Oryzias latipes: one gene and its partners. The protein of the gene in region 2 interacts with the protein of the main gene of each other region in a biochemical or structural test. Links are inferred from orthologs where the notes say so. Each region holds a gene or a part of one and is shown on either strand. Other genes may lie near its edges.

Region 1 (4,165 bases), on a different chromosome or scaffold from region 2:
TATTACGTTCTTTTTTGGAATTTTTGTCATGTCATGGTTATATATTAAGAAAATTAAGCCTAAACTTGCTTTTCTGAGGATTTCTTTATTCAAATTGTTGTGAATCAGGAGCAGATGAGAAAATGCTGTTTAAAAAAAGCCTGTCTCAGTGAAATAGGTGCCACAGTTGGCAGGCTACAAGCTCCCTGCTCTGCTCCATTCTGATGCATATCATATCATATCAATAATTCTGTAGTTCTATACGGCTCTAAACTGTACGGTTGGATAGCTGCAATATTGCTCACCATTTTTGTTGCACTGGTAATGTTAGGTTGGGGGTTTGAGGGGCTGTAAACTAGCAGGATAGATTTTAAACAGAGGTGATGGGAATTGAGCAAAGGCTTAGTCCATATCAGACAAACTACTACCGCTCTGCAGAAACTATGTCTTAAAAAAGGAAACAGGTTTTGGGATTTTGGCTAAAAACAACATAATCATAATTAAAAAGATCACAGGGAACTCTTTCACAATAGATCAAAAGGTGATCCTAGTGGGTCTTTAAGAGTAGAGGGCAAAGCTAGGAATCCAGTTGATTGTTTTGGGTATTTTGGGTAACGTTTGATGGTAGTTCGGAGTTGTTATCAAAGCCCAGAATAACCAAAATCAAGCAAAAGGTTGGACTAACAAACAGGTGGGACAGGTTTTAGAACACACCCATTAATGAAATAAAATGGTGAGATCTCAGGATTTAATGATCACAGGTCAAAAACACTACATTACCTTTCAAGCTTAACTTTATTTTTGAATAGTAAAAAAACAAGCCTACGGCTTGACTAATTTCTATTAGTGAAAGGGGACCTACTTGTGTACCAACTACAAAGCCAACACTGTTTGTTAGAATCATCTCTAAATTAGCCTCTAACAAGAGCTCATTGGGACACGGAGTAAGGTTTCAGATCTTAAATCTGCATCCAATGATCAGACCTAGTAAGGAGGCAGGTAGGCATCCTTAAGTTTCTCAACTGTCCATTATTCCTCTTTTTCAGGTCCAGTTATTGCGATACCCCGAGCAGCCTCACCGCTTACCATCCCCCCTCCGAGTGCCACTCCAAGCCCCACCCCCACAATCCAAGCCCCTCCCACAGATGATAACGAGCCCGTCAGCGTCACTATCACAGTCAAGGCTACAGGCTCGTAGTGGTACCTGATGCTGACCATAGCTGAAGGGTCCAACAGCATTCTAAAAAAAAAAAAAAAAACCAACCCATCTGTTCACAGAGATTTCAGATATTAGCACTTTAAAAAAATAAAATTATTTAGCGCAGTCATTTCAAAACCTTATGGTCAGTGGGCGCTTGTTTCCCCCGCATTATTTATACGTTTCTTTTCAGCTGAAGTTTTTCCACAATAGGTTATGTCTGTGTTACGAAGGATGCAGCATACAGTTGGTCTGTCAGTCATTTATTCATCTCTTTGTAAAGCCTAATATTCATGTAATGTAATAAAAACATCTTAGTCTAAACACAAGCAGTCTGTCACTGTATAACCGAGTTTGTTCACTTTCAAACTAGAAATATTAAACAGGAACTTTGCACGATGACAGCGGAACTTTCACACACAACACGGAAATATGTACAGCGAAAGCCTGGAGTCCATTTGAAGCTGTTCACACCACAGGCAGTAAAATCTTCTGACTGTTGACAATGTCGCCCAGCTTCTGCTTGATTTTCACAAAGAGGCGCTTGAACTCCAAACCGTCACCCTAAAAAAAACACAAGGAAAACATGAATACCTGTTGGTCTATCCTTTACTGTAAGAGATTAACATTGAAGGTACTTTAAAAGGCCAAAGACAGGAAGCCTTTGTACAATAGACACGTCTTTTTAACATGATCTTGTGGCCTTTTTCTCATTATGGAGGACATATAGAAAAGACTTCAAGTTTAAAACAGCAATTCTGAGTATTTTTTTTTAATTAAAACTGTGGTGACTCAGTAGCAGATGAAAAAATGTCCTGAAAAAGCTCCCAGTTGTGACGTAGAAAATACGCTGGGTACAAGCTTCCTGCTCCGCTCCAATCTGATGCATCCACTTGCAGACAAATACATCCATGCACGTCTTTGTTTTCTTTCTCTGAGCTGGAATCTGGCTCTAGACTGTACCGCAGGATGGCTCCAATACTGCTCGAAATTTTGTTACACAGGTAATGTAAGGGAGTGTGAGCTAGGGGCTGTAAGCTAGTGGGAGTGCATTTTAAAGGGATGCTGGGAAATGGAGGTAGGCTTACTCTGAATCAACAGTTCCGCCCACAACTCGGAGGCAAATTTCTAATGAACGTCTGCTGCTCTGCAGAAACTTTGTCTTAGAAAACGACAGTTTTTGGATTTTGACTAAAAACGACATATTTATAATTAAAAGGATGACTGGGAACACTTTGACAATAGATCAAAAGATGATCAGAGTGGGACTATGGACTGTCCTCTGCAGTCATTTCTGATTTTTCCAGATCTTTACTCCCAAGTCAGACAAATACAATAAAATAAATAGAAATGTAAAACAATTTTTTTACTGGTTTGTTTTTACCTTTCAGCTTTTGTTGGTGGTCTTTTTATTATCTCATTAGTGAATGACAGTGACGATGATTTAGATTCATGGGGCAACTACAAAACAAAGCCTAAACCTACCTTAGACAGCCTGAAGTCCAGAAGCACTTTCTGGTTCAAATGCAGGAGCAGGACCTTAAAGACTAGCGGGTTGTTGCGTTTATCCAGCGTGTTCAGAGTTACCTGTAAGTATTGAGAAGAGATCGATGTTTCTTTCCACTTTTACTTAAAAAAAAAAACGTGGTCATCTACAAAAAATACAGCTTTACCTGTCTGCAGGTGAGTTTGAAACCGAGTGCAAGAGCATCACAGGTGTCTTTCAGCGCAGACAAAGTTGCATCAGCATCCACTGTGGTGAAGAAACGGGTCATTCTCCGAACTAATTTCTGCCACGGCGACTGTGGAACACAAAAAACTGAAGTTAGAACTGGGAGGAGGTGGCGATAGATGATAACAGACATCCAGAAAGAAGAAGAACCATCCCTGAAATTTAACCATCACCTGACTGGCTCCAGGCGTGGCCAGTAACTGACTACCCAGCAGCATGTGCTCAGGCTTGGTCGGCTGCGAGAAGCTGACTTGACCTTCGCTTTGCCCAAACACCAGCATGGCTTCCCAGCCGCCAGCGGCAAAATCAGGCTGAGAGCTGGACAGCTGCATCCTGTCGTCACTGCACAGAAGAGGAGCTTTAAGCACATGGGTCAACAAAAACACAAGGAGGAGGAGAAGGACACGTTTCAGACCTGCTAGCACGGAACATAAAATCCCTGTTGTTGTGAAGAACCTTGCTGCAGCCCGAGCTCAGACATCCTGAGGAGGCACAGATTCATTAATACATCATTATCCTGCCTTAAACCCATTTTACAGAACTTCTCAACAAACTACAAGCATATCAAAGGTCATTGTAAAATAATGACTTTTTCATTATATCTTTATCCAAGAATATTCCAACAGTGAAGGATCAAATCTTTGCAGCAGGTCTGTGTGGGACTGATGGTGCCTCTTGCCTTGTGTAAACCAGCGGTCTTTCTTTAGCTCTTCTCCAGTGATCCGGGTATTGGGATTGGGTTGCAGTAATTTGGACAACAAGCCTAAGGACATTAGAAGAATTATCATCCAACAAAGTCATTTCTGAATCTAAACTGAAGCACTTTTATTTTAAAGCAATCTGATACTAGGCTCCAACATTAGTCCAAACACAGAAGTGTCTTTTCCTTATCAAACATATTTCTCCAATGGCAGAACCTGATAGAACAAACACAATGAACTAAAAGAAAAGACAGAAATGTTGGAATAGAAGTCTAAGAAATCTCCACCAAAGGTAAGAAGCTTTTATGTTATAATGAGGTGGGAGTATGATTACGCGGGACCACATGTGAAGAGCAGTTGTTGGGAGAATGACATTAAAGATCAGGGGCCTCATTTATAAAACTTGATGCGTAGGATTTGTGTCAGAAGTGGCGTACGGATGAAACATAGGACGTGCGTACGCACAGAAATATCCGGATTTATAAAACCGTGCGCACGCACATCCTACGCATCTTTCCCTTAAAAAATCACAACCGATTCTAAATGCAGCGCAGC
Region 2 (5,510 bases):
AATGTTGCCTACTGGCACTTGGTCACTCTGGAGAACGACAACTCGTAAGACAGTCGCTAAATACCAAGAAGCTGATTTCAGTGTTTGGAGCTTCGTACATGTTCCTGAATTCGCAGCTCCTGGAATTTTACGAATTTGGAGCCCCGGGTCTGCAGGTAGAGCCGCCCCCCAGATTTGTTGGTGACGCACTCTTGGCTGGGGCACATGATGAGCGGCATGAAGGAGGGAGACTGGATCTGTGGCAGAGATCGGGGGGTGGGGGGAGGTGAAGCTGTTGCTTGCTGGTTCGAATGTGACGCCAGTTTGGACGCGAGCTTACGGGTTGGTAGGTCTCGGCGCCGCACTGGTCACAGGTGTACGTCGCCACCGCCATCATCGGCTTGACCTCAGTGGCGCGGGTCACGATGCCCCGAACGGTGACCAGCTGACCGATGCTGTCGGCTCGGATGTCGCGCACCACTTTGGACTTGGAGGTGCTCGCAGGTTTAAAGTAGAGCTCGCTGTGGACGGGAGAAGCAGTTTTCAGAGCAGAATTCAGGCTGAAAGGACAAAAAATAAATAAATACTGGAATAAATCTGAACATCTACGTACAATCTCCTCATGAGTTCTGGTGGGTACTGGTTTCGGGAGTCTCTGGTATCTGCAGAGTCCTGCAGTCTTTGTTCCATCATCAGCCTGTGCTCAATGTACACATCCAGAGAGTCTTTAGCCACCACCTGAATTATTAAAACACATTCAGATTGATGGACCGGCTGATGGTTCGCTCAGTTGAGATAGAAACAGCATAAAAGAGCTCATCTTTATTCCGTTTGCTTCCACAATGTAGTCCTGACAGCAGAACGTCGTCAGTGTGGGGCGGTTTTAAAGACCCGCTATGATGGAAATTGTGTTTTGGGTGACATTGTTCTCATGATGGAGGACATATAGCTTAACATTGCACTTATTTATCAAAATTGTTGTGAATCAGAAGCAGATGGAAGACCACTCTGCAAAAGACTGTTATGTAGAAGCTATGCTGGCCACAAGCCCCCGCTCCTACCCTGCCCTAGGAAATGACATGGATTTCACCTAAAAACAACACAATCATAACTAAAAGACCACTGAAAATGCTTTTACAATAGAACCAAAACAACAATTACACGTTTCTTCTACCACAAAGCTATGTAAGATTGTCAAAAAACTACTAAAGATGACCACAATTCTGTTTGCAGACAAACTGCAATAATCCATGCAACAAGATAATAAGAACAACAACAACAAAAAATGTGCTAAAACGCACGTCTCTCTCTTTGTACTCTGGCAGCAGCTCGTGGACGGCGTCGGCAAACAGGCCCGTGTAGCGTTTGGCGTTTTCACTGATGCTCTCCACCAGCTCAGGGTCTTCTTCAGCCACGTCGTCCAGCTCCACAAAGAGGCCCACCTGCTCCCTGTGGGCCAAAGCCACCTATCCACAAACACACCAAAGCTATTAGAAAAACAAGCATGTTGACAAGCTGATGGGAAGGACTCAGTTGGTTGATTTAAAAAGCAGATTATGGTGGATAAACTGGAATAATAATGACAATGAGAAGAGAAAACAGGCGCTCTCTGAAACGCCTCCATCTGCCATAAATGCATGTGCTGTGCATTGGCTGTACTCACAAGTTGTGCTCCGTACTTGAACACCTTCTTCCCATTGCCGTCCTCTGTGTAAAACTCCTGCAGGAACCTTTTGCACTTTTCTGCAAAACACAAATCCCCGGTCTTAATAATACAAACAAAGGCGGTTTGAATGCTGTTGGCAAAAACAGTTTTATGCATTATATTCCTATAACAGAATGATTATCAATTTGAAGCTGCAGGCCTGCAAACTGGGAGCTAATTTGTTGTCCTGCGACGACCCTCTTTGTTGAGTAACATGGCATCCTGTAATCTCGATGAGTCACTATTGCCTACTGTAACACACAATTAGCCGCCGGAGCCCTGATGGAAGCTAGTTTTCGCACAGGTGCGCACATTAGCGCGATTTTCGGGTACACAACAAACGGGCTTCCTGGAGCGGATTTTCCTCAGAGCGCGTTGTAAATAAAACAACAACAAGCGCGCATTCACTTCGGCGCCCCTCTTTTTTGAAAACACTTCAACCCCAACTTCGGAAGCAGAACCGCGGAACTAACGGAATTAACAAACAAACAGCCTTTGTGTGGCGATAAAAACCATTTAACTTACTTGTAGGTAGCAACGGGAAAGCGCCAGTGTGGCTTTATTGCGTATCTGGTCGAGGATGTTATTGTAAACAAAGCAGCACATGGCTTTTGTGCCGCGTCACTTCATATCCCTCCGCGGCTCCTCCGCTCTTAAAAGCAGTCCATGCTGTTGTTTTCTAACCGCGGCCAGCCATCTTTTATCATTAGCTGCTGCTAGCAGGGTAGTGATTCGTACACGCCGCCCCGACCAAACGCATCTTTAATAGGATAAATAGCCCAGCGGTAAGGGGGGAGACGGCAAAAACTAGTCCCAAGGGGTGTTCTAAACATGCGCAAACCCGAAATATATTGATCCAAAAACGGTAACATAAATTATTTTTACCCGGGGACCATAAACTATCCATGTAACAGCATGAAAACTAGTTTGGCGCATAATAAGTACCGTTTACATACACTGAGAGGTGTTTGAGCACAATTTAGTTGCATCGTTTTTTGTGTTCTTGTGTGTGTTTTTTCCTGACTCTGCTTGTTGCCACACAAGTTTTTTAAAGGGTCTGTCAGTAGTTACGTTGTATAGATGTTCAAAACCCTGAGTCTGAAGTGTTAGCGTGTCTGTTTTCACGGAAGGGAACGGACTGCGCGGCTCTACAGCAGCAGCAGCAGCGCCGGCTGAGTCACCGCACGAAGCGCTAAATACAAAATGGCCCGTTCACGGACGCCACAACAGCTACGCAGCTAGCATGCTAACACTCAGGAAAAAGGCTGGAGTCTCTACTTTGGCCACACATTTGGACTCTGTGTACACGAACTACAAAACCTGTGATTTTGTGGTGTTTAAAAGCCTTTTCACCATAAAGGGAAATTGTAGAAGTTACCCAATCATGAAAAGCACTTTATTTATGCTGGTTAAAAATATACGTTCATATTTGTACGTAAAGATAAAGTTGTTGTTAAAGGCGGCAGACTGTTTATATACATTGTGAAATGTCAACTTTCTGCGGGCCACCATCGCAGGGCATGTGCGTTGAAGTTGAGTGTGGCGCCTGCTCCTTTGTTTAAGGCTCCATCCGGGTCACCGCGGAGTCACCAACTCCAACGAAGTACGACTCACCAACTTATTAGTAACCATCTTAGGAGTAGTTATGTCTTAACGGGTTACTCTAACACACCGTGCTGTAATGTAACCACGACAAATAGAAATTAAAAGTATAAAACTGGCATTACAGGTGAGATAAAGTAGTGTATGAGATAAAGTTCACTAATGAATGACATCATCAACACGTAAATCTTCATATGAAATGTTCAGCGACATGCAGCTTCACACGATTTGCTTTTCGTTTAAAGATATTTGTCAAAAAAGGAAATCCGGCCAACCTGTTGCTGCCATGCTGTTCTCCACAGACACACAAGTCCTTACCTTTCTCTGCCGCATAATCCTTTCGCGCCATGGCTGCAGGCGTTCAGCTCCGCGACAGATGATTCGTAACGCAACGCTACAAAGCCCAGATGAAGTCAAACGTAAAGCTTAAATAGATATTTTATTTTCTATTCTTGGAGTGCTGAACTCATTCACAAGCACCCAGCTCCTGTCGGTCGGAGAGCAAAAAGTGGCGCGAGTCTGACAATCGCATCAGCCAATAGTTTCGCGGCTTTCACAGAGGAGGGGCGGGATTTGATAGTGGCGGGAAAGTTGCTGGAGACAACGTCTCACGTGACTGGATAAACTTCCGCCCAGTTTGTCAGGAATGGCGCGAAATGTGACGATAAGATTTTGCATGAACAGACTGAACCTACAAGACAAAGGAGGTACAGGGCAAAATCCAACCCTAAACTACATTTTGTTTGATAGAAAAAAATGCAAAAGCAAACATGTTTATAGGTAATTTTTCTCATTGAATGTGTAAACAAAACTAGAGGTAAGAGATTTTTATGCAATCACTGGTATCTTTTTCAGCTCTGGTTAATGGCTCTATTATTTTTATGATCTGTCATGGTTGTTAAAGCATATAGTTGACTGCTTTATATGTTTAAATCATTCAAAACCTAACACATGTTTTCCCATCACACATATCAATCAGGGCCGATACCTGTGTTTTACAACATTTAATTTCATTTTGAAATACAAAATCAAAAATGATGAAACACCAAACACAACACTTTTGAATAAGAGTCTTAAAAAAATAAACAAAACTGTTTAACAAAACACATGTTGCCAACAATACAACATACTAAGAAGTCCTTGCACTTTCAGTTTATAAAAAAGCTGACAGGTTTCGAACATTACTTCCAATAAAATATAAACATTTCAACTTTTCAAAAATATTTCATCTTTTACAACAAACAAAAATATTTATAAACAAAGTTACAAAGGGCAACAGCTCTCAAACAGAAAAAGAAACCTTTTTTTTAAGTACTTTTTACTCCTGAAGCTCCAGAAGATCTGGCTGGAGGATCCCCGAAAGATTTCAGTCAAAGAGCTCATCCAGGACGCTGACGGAGGTGTGCCTTGTAGAAGGCTGAAAGAAAACACAACCAGAGGACGCTTTTAACTTCACAATCAAATAGTTCACAACCAAAACAGTTTGCGGAACACTAACCGTACAAACTGATTTACAGATCATTCCAACCGTCTCAACTTTGAACAAAAACTAAAGCTAGCTCACAACAGGATCTCTACTTCTTCTTTACAGACTCGCTCCAATGAAAATGGGGTTTCTGGTCTTTTTCACATGTTCTTTTCTGACTATAGAGGACATATTTATTGTGCCTTTTAACCAGAACCTGAAAGTAGCGGCACATTACTCCAGCTTGGAAATCTTTGCACTAGCTCCCAGTCGGCTTTAGGATCCATTTTAAGATGCTTTTATTACTTTTTCTAAAAGTTTCAATGAAACTGGACCTTCATTGTCATCAGGTCCTCAGGCGCAGGTCTGCTGGTGATCTCAGAGGTCAGTACGGCCAGACCACGTCACATTGTGAAGAAAAAAACTTACAACTCATCTTTGTAGCTTAGCCTTTACATAGTTTTAGCAGAATGAGTAGGTGTTTTTTTAGAACTATTTTTAGTATTTATATTTTATTATTTATATCGAAAGCACTTTGATGTGTTCCCTAGAAGGACAAATAATATCTAAATAAACTTGGATTTCAACATATTGACAAAATTAAGCTTAGTTTTTGTGAGAATTTCTGCATTCAAAGTGTTGTGAATCGGATGAAAACATGCGGCTGGAAAAAGAGCTTATTTGTGTGAAATCCACTGGGCTGGCTCCGAGAGCACCTAGCTGCCTCTCCCAGCTCTGCTCCATTCCGATGCATCCACT
Region 3 (5,366 bases), on a different chromosome or scaffold from region 2:
GATGGTTTCCAGGTCAACCGAGTTCACTGCGATGCGTTCAGGTGCTCAGACTCACAGGCCCTTAAACAGGGGGTGCTGTAGTGCTTCAGCCGCAGAGATCCGGGTGTTTGGATTCAGGTCCAGCAGCCGGTCCAGTAGGTGGTAGGCTTCATCAGGAACCCTGTCCCAGTCCTCCACCTCCTCCTCAGCCTCCAGGTTTGGCTTCACGAGGCTTTCTGTGCGCTCACAGCTGCTCAGACTTTCCTGCTTCTGCAGACTCGGTTCTGCTGCGTCAGCGGGCCCACGCGCCGATGCTCCGTCCATTCTGTTCCGACAGGCGTCTGCCATCGCTGGTGGGACGCCTTCACCTGTGGAGGACCTCCTGCGTCCTCGCAGAGTCTCGCACAGAGTCCTGAGGTCCTGAGGGGGCAGCTCCTGGCTGCACACCACCGCTTTACCTGAAGGAAGGCCAAAAAAGGTCGACTTTAAAGACACCTCCCTCAAAAACACTTCCCGATTTCTGCACACTTTCAGTTTTTGGGTCAGTGTTTCCATCTGCCGTCTGGACCCGAACAGAATCAGAGACGACGCTTGAAATGAGGCACCGGACCTCACGGCCGTGTCTGAAAAGCAAGGAGGTTCTGCTGGAGCCCCTCCACTAGAGGATGGAGAAGATCAACACAAACCGAAGGTCTTGGCTGCCCGGATGGTCTCCCGGGAACCTCGGACTGTCATGATCTGAGCGAGCGCCGTCAGGTCATCGCCGGCCTTAAAAAACGGGTAGCGGCCGCTGAGGAGCGAGAGCAGGATGACGCCGGCCGACCACACGTCTATGGCTGCGGAGGACAGGCAGGTTACTTCAAATGCAGCGTCAGCCTGAGGAGCTGCACCAGGCCGAGGCTACCAACCTGTGCCTTGGTCGGGACACTTTGTCAGGACTTCAGGCGCTCTGAAGCCAGGAGTTCCAGCCCGCGGCGCCACCTGCTGCTTTCTTCAGAAAACATCGGATGAGAAAACATGACAAGTTATTGCAACAGAGGCAAAATTGTAGAAATGAAAATGAGATTTCAGCTGATAGAAACATTCTTTTACTGTTTTAATGAAGGATTGTAGATGATTGAAAGTTGAATCCCTGAATTTCCAGTCTGAATGTCATCTTCAGAAAACTTCAGACTGGAATGCAGCCCAATTCTAAGAGGACAGCAGTTTCCTGTTGGGACGTTTACCTGGACATGCAGATGTTGCAGACGCGGTCGGTCAGGAAGCAGTCGCAGGTGAGGCCCGGCTGGACGGCCCTCTGAGGTTTCTGGCTGCTGCTGCTGAGAGTCCGGCCTGCCGCTCGGCTCGCCGAGGAGAGCCTCCAGCTGAGCGCTTCCTGAAGGCACAGGAGTGAAAACGCTGCAGACGTCAAAGAAAAACATGGCAGCAGCTCTATCACAGGATTACCTCTGCTTTCCTGGCATCCGGCGCTGTGGTGGAGGGGGCAGGCGTGCAGCTGTTCAGGTTCCTCTCACCAAACACGGGTCGTGGAGTTCTGCGCAGCCCCCCCAGGTCCTAGAGACAGGAGTCAGAGCAGCAGGTTGGTGCAAGAACTCAGACGGGAGACGCGGACGAAGCCCAGCGACCACATTTCTGCAGAGGAGACACCTTTGACCGAGCCGTGTGAAGAGAGGAGGTGGGCAGGCGTGCTTTTTTCACCGGGGGTTTCTGCGAGGCCGGAGAGGACACAGGAGAAGAGGACGGTGGCAAAGCTCCCGTCTGCCGTGGAGGCGCAGGGAGTGAACCAGAGGTGGTTTTGGAAAAGGGTTTAGGAGGTGCTCGGCTCCTCTGTGGGGCAGACCCTCCACCTTTCTGCAGAGGCCTCGGTCTCACCACCTTCAGCAACTCGATTTTGGTGTCGGCTGTGCCCTGAGCTAGGCCGAAGTCCACCAGCGCGTACCTGCAGGAGAAAGAGGAGGTGGGACCACTGCTGTAGACGCCATCAATGCTCTGCGCCCACTTACACTCCGCTCCTCCGGTTGTACAGGAAGTTGTTGGGCTTGATGTCCCGGTGAATGATGCCAAACTGATGGATGTGTCGGAGCGCCTTCAGCAGGTGATAGACGTACAGACGGACCTCAGCGAAGCTCAGGGACCCGATGATTTCCTAACATTTGTATAGTCCAGTCAGAAAGAGAAACCAAAACCAGGTTTAAAGCTGCTGTCTGTGCAACGCACCACGAGAGCCCGATGCTCCATGTAGGGCATCACGATCACCACATGGTCATCCCTCCTGAAGCAGTAAGTCACTCCCATCACGTTCTCCCTCCCTCTGAAAGAAGTCAATCGCTTCAGTTTGCAGGAAGACAGTTCCAGCCAGACGAGGTAAAGGTGATGCAGAAGAAGCAAAAGGAAGTAAGGAGGTAGTTTCTTCAAATCTCAGACTATTTAAGAAGAAAGAGTTAAAAAAACACAAAAGGGAGCTGTTGCCGCACCCTGCTGCGGTCAGACACTGAAGCTCAGCAGCGATGCGTGTGGGGTGGCTGGTTGGGATGAGATGTTTCAGCGCAAACAGCTCCTTCCTGCCGTCCCGCATCCGTGCCTCGCCCAGGTACACCGAGCTGAACGTCCCTGACGAACACAGCGGGACAGAGATGCACGCTCAAAACAGGGCTGCCCCTCCAACATGAAGCTCCTGTTATCAAACCACATACCTTCTCCAATTTTGTCCAAGATGTTGAAAGCTGTGGCCAGCTGAGGAACAGCTTTGCAGAGATGTTCAATGTCCATCTGCACATCCTCTGAAAAACACAACGGGTCACACGCCTGACAGCAGAAGTGGAAAACTGCTGTTTTTACATAAATGTGTTTTAGGGGCCTATAGGGGCCTCAGTACATTTAACCACCGCTGGTTAAAATGATCCTAAATGCAGATTTAAACACTAAATATAAGGTCAAATTAATGCTTTTGCCTTCTGTTGCTTCAGCACATTTGGAATATAGTGATTTGAATACAGGTGGTTATTAACTGTGTGGTGAACCTCCTCCGTTTTCTAAACTAAACTATTACCGGATAAATCAGTGTCAACTAATTTTATGTAAACTATAACTTTTTCATCTTGAGAATCTGTAGAAAAATGTTCAAAGTAACGGTCAGAAACTTGAGGGCGCGCGCGCTGTCCCGTTCTGCGGACGTTTCAGCCGCGTGCGTGCGTGCCTGTCAATCACTCACTGGAGACTTTCCTCCTGTGAGCGCCGTCCTGGCTCCCAGGCCCGGTGGTGCTGGTTCCGTCAGTGCAGACCGCGGACGCGTCCATCTGACACCACAGCCTCCCACCTCCGCGTGCCACGGGTCAGATGAGCTTCCACAAGGCGGGAGCAGAACCTCCTCTACGTGGGGAAGAAGTCTCGGAAATGCAATGGCGTTCACAAACAAACTCACCTCTTTATCTGTAAAGAGCGAGGCTTTCGAGAAAACTTTTACACAAAGTAAAAAAACTTTAAAACACAAAAAAATTCTGAACGCCAGACACAGAACACAAACACCCCATACTTTCAACTATATGTATTTGTCTTGCGACCTTCCGGAAAGCTTCATCAACAAAAAGAAAACTACGCGCTAAAAGTGACGTCACCAGATCTCGCGATGTAACAGTTCCCGACACGTGACCAATGGACCATGTTCGTTCTACGGCAGTACATTATCCTTCCACATGGTGGCGCCACCGTGACTGTATTTTGGAGCCAGGAGAATCTTTTTTATTTTTTATTTTTTTAAGTATTCAGTCAACCACCAATTGTTCTAGTTCTCCCACTTAAAAAGATGAGAGGCCTGTAGTTTTCCTAATAGGTAAACATCAACTATTAGAGAGTAAATGAGAAAAAATTTATCAACAGAAGCAAAGGCTTTAACCCAGATAAACCAATAAATTATTCAGGAGTTTTATAGCTTTCTTATTATGCATTTTTATAGTGATTTCCATAAAACCAATTTTTTAAATACCAAACATTTTGGATTCTCTTTCAGAAAACAATATTTATAAATTAAAAAATCCTAGAAAACGAAATAGTTAAAAATAAACTGAATATATCTTCTTATTTTCATTTTCAAATTGAACGTTCAGGTATGTCAATGTTGGAATCGTGTTTGTTTGTTGAAAGCCACATTTATAAATACTTCCAGTCAACCTTAATCATATCACAATCACCAAAAAACATCTGCTTTTTAGGTTTCCTTTTCTTTTGCACACATGGTGCATAAATTATCTTGAAATTACATTTGATATGTAAAAATTCCTTACACCGAAAGATGTTAATTGTTTTGGAGGTTAGATGAGTTTTAATTTGGAAAATTTTGGGACAGAAATTCAACTTAGCTGTCTGGGTGTGTCTTAACCCTTGTGCTATCCTAGGCACTTTAACGTTGGGAGTTGGGTCATCTAGACCCACTAGACAGTGCTCTGAACCTTTTTTCTTCAATGATTTGTGATCTTCGCTGGTGTCCATGGATTACATGAAATCTTTCCACCTTTATCCACCTTTGTCATGGTAGGGAGAAAACGTCAATACAAGGGTGGGGTCATCTAAGATAGCACAAGGGTTAAATGTGCTCTATCATTTTATATCTGTAATAAAAAAACAGCAATTAACAGTTTGGGATTCGAGGTAAAATTGATGAATTTTGTACACTTGCTCTGATTAAATGAATTAACTTTGTCTTGTACATGAAACATCTCATGGATGCACTGGGACGCATCCTCAGTGATGTATCCTGAGGTCATCGGGTGTTTCGGGTCTCACAACATCATACACCCTCACCCAGGCGACCCAGCCGGGGTTGATCAGACCCCGACTTGCGTCCCAGCAGCAGACCACGGATCAGCCCTCTTCATCCACAGCCACCTCGTGGCCTTCTCTGCGGCTTCGCACACAGATTGAATGGCCCTCTTTTTGGCCGCCCCTGTGATACCTAAACGGCAGAGGACTTTACAAAGGGAACGTCCCGCAAAGCCTCTACAGCCAACTTCTACAGGCTCATAGAATGTTTTCCAGCCTCTTTCCCTGCACCCCTCAACCAGTTCCTGGTACTTAGCGCGTTTCCTCTCGTTTGCTTCCTCCATACGCTCTTCCCAGGGCACCGTGAGTTCCAGCATGATCAGATGTTTTGAAGTCTCCGAGATTAATAACATATCTGGGCGGAGATTTGTTCTCACAATGTGCTGAGGGAACCTTAGCTGTTTTTCTAGGTCAACCTGCAGCTGCCAGTCCAAGGCTCTGTGGAGAAGGCTTGTCGGTAATTGTTTTCGCACATGAGGTTTTTCCCAGCTTTGATGAAGGGTACTGCCTTCTTTGGAGCGCGCTGGTTTTTGCTGGCTTTTATGGCTGAGGCTAAACTCTCAGCAAGTGCT

Evidence for each region.
Region 1: the proteins of mcm7 (region 2) and chek1 form a complex in vitro, tested with the Homo sapiens proteins (2 studies listed by BioGRID, with this or other methods). The link is inferred for Oryzias latipes from reciprocal best matches to the Homo sapiens genes MCM7 and CHEK1.
Region 3: of the proteins of mcm7 (region 2) and cdc7, one has a biochemical effect on the other in vitro, tested with the Homo sapiens proteins (2 studies listed by BioGRID). The link is inferred for Oryzias latipes from reciprocal best matches to the Homo sapiens genes MCM7 and CDC7.

Annotation. Positions count from the first base shown.
Region 1 is NC_019872.2:13,130,153-13,134,317, forward strand, and holds the end of chek1 (serine/threonine-protein kinase Chk1), read right to left. Parts: intron 3,673-4,165; coding exon 3,589-3,672; intron 3,392-3,588; coding exon 3,325-3,391; intron 3,252-3,324; coding exon 3,083-3,251; intron 2,980-3,082; coding exon 2,851-2,979; intron 2,765-2,850; coding exon 2,663-2,764; intron 1,742-2,662; coding exon 1,646-1,741; 3' UTR 1,424-1,645; downstream 1-1,423. Other genes in the region: V-set and immunoglobulin domain-containing protein 10-like 2, read left to right, coding at 1,026-1,177. UniProt on the Homo sapiens protein: Serine/threonine-protein kinase which is required for checkpoint-mediated cell cycle arrest and activation of DNA repair in response to the presence of DNA damage or unreplicated DNA.
Region 2 is NC_019868.2:6,626,973-6,632,482, reverse strand, and holds the start of mcm7 (DNA replication licensing factor MCM7), read right to left. Parts: upstream 3,636-5,510; coding exon 3,605-3,635; intron 2,253-3,604; exon of another isoform or gene 2,210-2,252; intron 1,723-2,209; coding exon 1,643-1,722; intron 1,446-1,642; coding exon 1,281-1,445; intron 718-1,280; coding exon 593-717; intron 501-592; coding exon 320-500; intron 237-319; coding exon 99-236; intron 28-98; coding exon 1-27. Other genes in the region: cohesin subunit SA-1, read right to left, coding at 4,653-4,703. UniProt on the Homo sapiens protein: Acts as a component of the MCM2-7 complex (MCM complex) which is the replicative helicase essential for 'once per cell cycle' DNA replication initiation and elongation in eukaryotic cells.
Region 3 is NC_019875.2:5,919,741-5,925,106, reverse strand, and holds the start of cdc7 (cell division cycle 7-related protein kinase), read right to left. Parts: upstream 3,583-5,366; 5' UTR 3,276-3,582; coding exon 3,191-3,275; intron 2,760-3,190; coding exon 2,673-2,759; intron 2,590-2,672; coding exon 2,454-2,589; intron 2,291-2,453; coding exon 2,197-2,290; intron 2,126-2,196; coding exon 1,983-2,125; intron 1,919-1,982; coding exon 1,627-1,918; intron 1,534-1,626; coding exon 1,426-1,533; intron 1,355-1,425; coding exon 1,206-1,354; intron 971-1,205; coding exon 888-970; intron 816-887; coding exon 666-815; intron 438-665; coding exon 52-437; 3' UTR 1-51. UniProt on the Homo sapiens protein: Kinase involved in initiation of DNA replication. Phosphorylates critical substrates that regulate the G1/S phase transition and initiation of DNA replication, such as MCM proteins and CLASPIN.